Neodiprion lecontei: one gene and its partner. The protein of the gene in region 1 purifies or fractionates together with the protein of each later gene. This does not show direct contact. Links are inferred from orthologs where the notes say so. Each region holds a gene or a part of one and is shown on either strand. Other genes may lie near its edges.

Region 1 (4,810 bases):
ATTGCGTAGGAACGGCGCGGCACAATAAATTAATGCATAAAACCAAATGAATATTCAGATCGTACGAGGAGCTGAAGTTAAGCAAACGTCTCGCTTGCCAACGCGTATATTTATAAGCATATAGTTCGAACAGTACACCTACTTCAACGACAAACAGCTACGTTTCACAAAGATTCACCTAGCCTTAAGTCAAACGTAAGCTTTAGAACATAAAAAAAGGGGGAGAAAATTACAACCGAAGTAGCTCTCGGCTTTTGACTTTTATGAAAGCAATAATTTTTGACTTGGGTAAACGTGGAAGCTTGTCGACTAGTTTTAAGCAGATCACTTTGCGCTGGCAGTTTGTTTTTCTAACTTGACCGTTATAGAAATCATCACGATAATTGTGTAGACTCGGGATTTGATAAAAAAAAAAAAAACTTTGATCAACCGTATGAAAAATTATCCACAACATTCGTAATTTGTTAAGAATTCATTTGCGAGTTACGAGAGCACTTTTTAGCAAATTAAGCAGCAATTAACGATATTGGAGTAACGACATCTTGTCATCTCTGTGCAAGTTGTTCATTTCATACGCATCCATGACTATTTGTCTACAATAATACACAATAATCGGTTTAAAATTTATCCGTCACAATAAAAATTCGTATTCGCGAGACAAAAATACAGACAAATATATCAAGCACGCGATGCGAACACGTGGTTTGATGTATTAATGGCACGTCTAGATGTACCGAAATATTTCAAAAGCAGACAACAACAAATCTCCATTTTGCTTGTTTCACTCACATTCACGAGCGAGGGTCAAAGCTCCGTCGGAATTTCTTTCTCATTTTATAATCTTCTTCGAAACAACTCCACGAACTAGTATGATAATAATTTATTCATGGATGAAAAAGATCACCCGCGTTATAGCGCATTATATATAGAGCGTGAAAAAAAAAACTTACGTTTTTTAACACCGAGATTTCGTAAAAATTTGCAAATCTTCTTGTAGGCACTGTCGGCCTCCTTTTCGTTGACTTCCAACGTGCTTTTCGACGCTGGTTTATCGCCCCTTTGACCCGACAGACAGAATTTTGGATAACGCCATTCCTGGCGCGGTTCTGACCAATTCAACGTGTTCGCGGGCGCCATTTATTTGTTTGTTTTATTTTTTTTTTTAACAACTTTGTACAAGTATATCGTTCAGTGTACTGGATTATTTCACGTTTTAAGGAAGGTTATACGGTATTTTGCCAATATTCCTATTTCCGCTTCGTTATAAACTGGTTTGGTTACACGTGTTACAAATATGTATACACACACACGGTGAATTTCATTCACGAATTTAAAAAGAAAAATGCAAATCGATCCTTAAATCTTACGGACTCAAAGTCTTGGCTTAACCGTCGTAAGCCTGTAAAATCTTCGTTTATATCCGAGTGATATCACTGGAACCACCACGAATTATTATACATGTGTAAACACAATATTTCGAGACTGACGAACATTTTTATAGGATTTTAAAAAGCAAGAATAGTATTACGGAGAGAAAAGAGTTGAATAATATTCTTCACCTCGAGTAGATATTGAATTATGGATTAGTTGTTGAAATTTGATTATTCGCCGTTTTAGTTTATCAATAAGATTTCCACTTCTCGTCACTCTATGGTTTATACGCAACAACACGTGAGTGATGTATAAGAGGCTGTATAAGATTTTATTTTATAATGTATGTATATTTTTTTTTTCGTCTCCGTTATACATCAACAGTTCAATTTACTTCCCCGTGAACATTTGACGAATATTGTTTGTTCGCGGTAAATATTTTGTCAGCGAGTCGGCTCTATTTTTAGCGGTCTGCACGCAGAATATGAGCGATATCAGTTGGTGCAAATAAAGATTTTTCTTCTCTCCTTTTTACGTTTCCACCACTTTCGAGATGTTTCATTTGAAAACAAAAAAAAACGTACTACGTGTAAAACACGCTCAAATATTTATTTGCCGTATAATATATCAGCAATAAAAACGAGCCGTGGCGCCGCTGGATTAAATCGCGTATGTAAAGAGAGAAGACCAAATATTATAATCAAATACACTAGATGTGATAATTTTTCCACCTTCGATACCGGAGTGTTGATTTTTATCAGTTTAGTATATTATCATTTATTACAGTCTCCGCGTTAATAGTCGTTCGATTTCGCATATTTGTATATGCTATTCTAATTTCACACACTTGGTCCGTGCACTTGCGACGCTATTATTGGACACGACGACGACGACGACGATGAGCACTGGAAGGCGAGACGAGGTTTAATAACACATGCGACACCACTCTCGATACGATATCCAAATCCAAACAATATATTAATTTTATTCAACGCTGTAGCGCGAAGCCGGGATCGATAAATAATTCACCAGTAACGCAAATCCCTGTTTCTACCGCTGCACAGCGCGATGGATGTCCGGGAATACACTGTAGTCAGGCACTGAACGAACGATTCAGTTACATACGTCACGGCATTTAAACGAGTAATGTATAAAAACGGAAAATTACAATAATGATGATTAAAATTACATTATCCACTTGTGAAGAAGAAATGCGATACTTTACATTTCACGTTTGAATGTTACTCGTGATAACGACGCACACAGCATTCACGGACACAGAATCTTATCGCCATTCTTCCTTTCTTTTTATCCTCTCAACTCTTCGTTTCTTTTTCAAATCTTCACATACGAACTATACCTATATACAGTTGCGTGAAATTATTTCATCATTAAAATATAAGCGAAAATATGTTAAGCGCGTATGTTTCCTTCGCATTGCAAATATGATGCGAGCGACGCGGTTCGCGGTTGAAGAAAAACACAAATTTTTCACCAATTTCTTTTGTCATCGTTTGTTCACATGTCAGTGATTAATCGCGCGGAGATTAATGAGGGAATGTTTCTAAAAGTGAGAAAAAAACCAGCGAGAACGGTCGATACCCCGAGCAATATACACAGATTTAAAGGCAGTAAAGTAAGAAACTGTCGTCGCCGGGTTGAATAACTGTTCACATTTTTAGGTCAGTTCTGGGGGCGACCTGTACGCGGCCGTCTGTTCACCGATCTGATGATATAGCGACTGACGATGAGGGAAGAGGTTGGCTTAGGAGAGAGAAACAGAGAGAAAGAGAGGCGTTTCCGAACCGAGTGGGGAGAATAGACCGACTCGTGTTAAACGTACGTTTACTATACCGCGTACATGTACGATGATTGTACATAGATAAAAATAGGCACAAACCATGCGATTCGAAAAATTCCAAATAACACGACGTGGCATTGGCATAGCTGTATGTGCGTAATAATTGGGAGGGAAATTCTCTCTGTCGGTAAAATCTTTGTTTCACCGAACACAAGCAGCTTTGTTTTTTCTTCTATCCAATTCTATAGTAAATATTGTTGAAAAGTTTGTTGAAAAAACATTCGATAATCAAGTGTAGCAAAAATGGGAAGTGTGTAAACAGAGCCTTGTTTTTTTTTATCATGTGGATAGTGGTCAGATTCTTGGAGGGTTTTGGGGTAATAATGATTTCATTTTTACTTGCGGTATAATTTCTATTAAGAGTCGCCGACGAATGGAAAAACAAAAAATTACAAAACCTGTAATACGAGACCGTGGATCAGACGAAATATACGAAATATACGAAATATACGTAATATGAGAAATATTTTTCCCCAGCACTTAAACTGCGTTATATGCCATACGTACAAAGAAACAAAATTTTCAAATCAAAAGGATTACAAATATATTAAATTGTCTTGAAATTTGCGAGAATGTATGAATTAAATTCCTGGTCCCTCTCTCCCTCTTTCTCTCTTCGTGTAATTAATAATTCAACAGCACAGATTACAGTTAATACAATAATAAGATAGTTAATAATAACAATCAATATATCGTTAAATATCTGCAAACGTCGCTCTCTATATTTATAAATACACGGGGGATAGGGAAAGCAGCGCGTCGCAACGAAATTGGCAAGGATGGAGAAAATCGTCGGCAACCGTCGATATTTCGCCTACGTCACGAGGCACACAAGGCACCTTATACGTCATCATTTCCATACCGCATACACATACTATGTATATTCGCGTACGTACGTAGAATCGTTCGCAGAATCGCACATACACACAATCGCACTTGGCAATAACAACGATTGCGGTACGATCCGGGGGTGAGACAAAGAAACAAAGATCGACGCAAAGTCCGCGCAGGAAATTTGCAGAAAACGCGAATGACCGCATTACGTACGTGTATACGAATGCGTGTGTGTGTCTATAATTGCACGCCTGTTGTACCCGACAACTCGCTTCTCGGATCCCGCAAGGCGGGAATCAGAATCGCGTATTGTGTGATAGATTTTTTCCAATTCTTTGAAAAAAAAATTTACAACATGCACGTACACACGTCACGACTATATCTAACATGCCAAATTTACAGTACGCAGGCATATTATCCGCTGCTAACGACCGCGCGTGGAAAAAACTTGAAAGGCGCGTCTCTCGCCAAAAAGTTTTTACTTGCTAACCGTGAGAAAAATCGCACACTATTATATATATTTACGAACAAAAAATGAATTATTGAAACCCACCTGATTCTTATCTTATTACATTATACCCCCAGTATATCCAATCAATTTCCAATGCTTGCATCAGTTTTTCCCTATATATATATATATATAATTCATACATACATACATATTCTAATATATATGTATATGTAATGAGAAAACGACGCGTGGATAGATGCAGGCAGGATTCGGCGGATATGCTCGAGGGCGTA
Region 2 (2,836 bases), on another chromosome or scaffold:
TCCCTGTTTTTTAGTTCCTCTAGGTGGCGCTAGTAGACTTCTGACACGCTCGCTGTCCTCGCTAACCGCGCGCAAGCTCGTCAGGTAACTACTAGCGCCACTAGTGGTGGGAATTGGCGGCAGAATCGAGGGACATTTTGCGAACCGCTTTTAGCAACGTGTGTCAGGGGGCACAGACTAAGGATTATTTAAATAAGGTTTCCTGGCTCTCTGCCAGGTTTCTCACGTGACGAAAAATATTGGAAAGTGCTGCTGTGTATCCTAATGTCAGCACAGATGCCGGCATTCGGAAACACCATTATCGTTGTCCGGCGCTCCCAAAAACCATAATTTATTTAAAAAGTGAACTTGATGAATTGTGTGACGTTAACTTTAGCGTGGATACAAACTGTTCTGAAAGACGCTTTAAATTTTCGGCACAAGCGACACCTGGACTCGACTGTTGAATTGTATTAAAATAATAACAGCATCCGGCGCGAGTCGGACCGAACCACCGGGACCACCTCTTATTCTTACACCGTGGAATAGAAAGATCTATAATTTGCTTTTGAGGTTATGATGAACATGCGAACTTGTGATAATCAGGTTATGATGTAATCATGAAAGATTGTAAATGAATCAGTTCTGGACAACGATTCGAATATGATCGCTTTTATTTTGTACGACGGTACACCGTATTTATTGCATTATTTATGTGTGATTTTGCTAAGTTTTTCGTGGAGCAACAATCCAAAGGACCGCGTATATTCAGGGCTGATGTAGTTCAGCAGGCTGTAAGGGGTTTCGTAATATTGAGCTTCTCGGTTCAAATCGCTGTCGTATGTCTTATCTACGACGGCAAAACCGAGGGGCGACAGTTCTACGCAATATTTGACTTCTTCCAGCGTCGTCAAGTTTAAATACACACGATTGTTCGTATTCGGTAGTTTGTCTGATAATTTCAATTCTTTGACGTGGCACTTAACATCAGCTATCACCGCTTCTGCCTCAAGTTTCCACTGCTCCTTATCAAATACTTTGTCTTCACTACTTTCCATTTTAGCCTGTGCTACTTATTTCTAGTTTTTCGCCTCTGTACACGAAACAACAAATTTAACCAACAGACTACGTGTATATTAATACGGGTCAGGTTAGGTAGGTGTTTCGGTGTTCCGATTGGTACAGAAATGTGAAGATTTTACTAATTTTTCAAATATTCAAATTACTGAAATAAAATCGGTAATATATTAGTAAAATGAAAAATATCGTATCAACATATGTAAGACATAATCTTGTTGATAAAAAATTAATAAAGGTATAAAACAGTTTATTTTTATTGATATTGCTTTTTTTCAACCCTTATCCTGCATTGTCTTATTTATCTGGTGATGAATAGTTAATAAATTGATCTCTAACAGCGAGCCATTAACAATGAGTAATAACTATGCAATGAAATTAAGGTAAATTTTTTCTTGTAAATCGTTAATTATAAGAGAAAAGATCAGATTTTCTTATTTGAAAAAATACTCTTCAATTTCTTACCGCAAGAGAATTGTATTGAATTATGAATGTACGTTCTAGTCATATTTTTTACTTCACAATAACTATTCAACAAAATGAGAACCTCATAACTGACAGAATGCTTCCTGTACCTTGACATTCATGTATTATCTTACCTGACATCACCAGTTTTTTTTAATGATATACTGCTGAGTCACACCCATGTTCTTACGTCAAACTGTAATTTTGGTCTAACAATAAGATTGAATTGCATAAAATTTAAGACACCTGGTACAACCGAGTGAGTAGATATAGATGGCAATGATGACCGATGAGAAAGAGGTACTTCAGATGTAACGACGATGATATGAGATGAGGTCAGGACAGATTGAAGCTGGGAGATGTGGGATCAGCTGCCAGAGCTGATACTTACAGAAATATTCAGGCACTTAAACAGCAGAGACCGGGCAAATTTGGGAGAGGTCTGCAAATCATGGAAGCATGCCATGTCCTCACCCATTCTTTGGCGCTCAGTGACAGTCCTCATCGATCGTGATCTGCGTGGTGAATTACCACTTGCAAAAGAGCTTGCGGTGGTTACCTTGCGCAATGATAATTTTTTTCAGAATCCTGGCCATTAATATGTCAAAAATCTGCCTACCAATAATATGTTAAAACATCTTCAATTTTCTATCCCAAGGTCAAGTACGGGCAGTACATGCGTCGCCTGGAGTTAGCTTGGTCTAGGCCATATGTAATTCCAAGGGAGACACGGTTTGCACGTAACATTCAGTCAGAAGCGGGTGCAGATTTCCTCAACGTCATTAGAACGAAAGATGTGCAATTGAAAGAGCTCATCCTCGCCGACTGGGTATTCAGTTGCAAGTGGGGTAATCGAGGAAAACTTCTATGCGCGTTAGCTAATTTCTTAGGGTGAGCAATACAAAGAATGAATGACAGAAATAAAAAACAATAAAGCGTCTGTCACGAGACATTTTTTATCATCACAGCTACCAGCACAATCTTGAGACTCTGAACCTATTGAATGCTAATTTAGGAGTCAGTGACGTTTTGAGAATTTTGGGCTCTGCGGTAAGAGCATCTGGGAATCGCCTAGAGTCATTGGATCTTCGAGGTGCTTTCAGGGAATGGCAAGCACCTCACAGCAACCCCAGGTGATTCTTTTTCACCACATAATATAAGAGTTTCATAGATTCCTTAAGTCGGATCTACTTTCTAGGTATCTGCGCTTACTTGGTCGACTACGAGCTTTGGCAACTCTGAAACTAGATTATCCAGCTTTATCGGACGGTGCCCTCAATGCTTTAGCCAGCGCTGTACCCTTGGCTCTTCGCAC

What was found. Proteins that work in one complex are often made in the same cells at the same time.
Region 2: the proteins of glycogen synthase kinase-3 beta (region 1) and GSK3-beta interaction protein purify together in Drosophila melanogaster (affinity purification with mass spectrometry, with the first as the bait; 3 studies listed by BioGRID). This does not show direct contact. The link is inferred for Neodiprion lecontei from reciprocal best matches to the Drosophila melanogaster genes sgg and CG11523.

The regions. Positions count from the first base shown.
Region 1 is NC_060265.1:25,392,397-25,397,206, reverse strand, and holds the start of glycogen synthase kinase-3 beta, read right to left. Parts: upstream 3,112-4,810; 5' UTR 1,138-3,111; coding exon 951-1,137; intron 1-950.
Region 2 is NC_060264.1:26,315,561-26,318,396, forward strand, and holds GSK3-beta interaction protein, read right to left. Parts: upstream 1,156-2,836; 5' UTR 1,038-1,155; coding exon 687-1,037; 3' UTR 636-686; downstream 1-635. Other genes in the region: F-box only protein 39-like, read left to right, coding at 1,881-2,072, 2,180-2,412, 2,490-2,654, 2,720-2,836.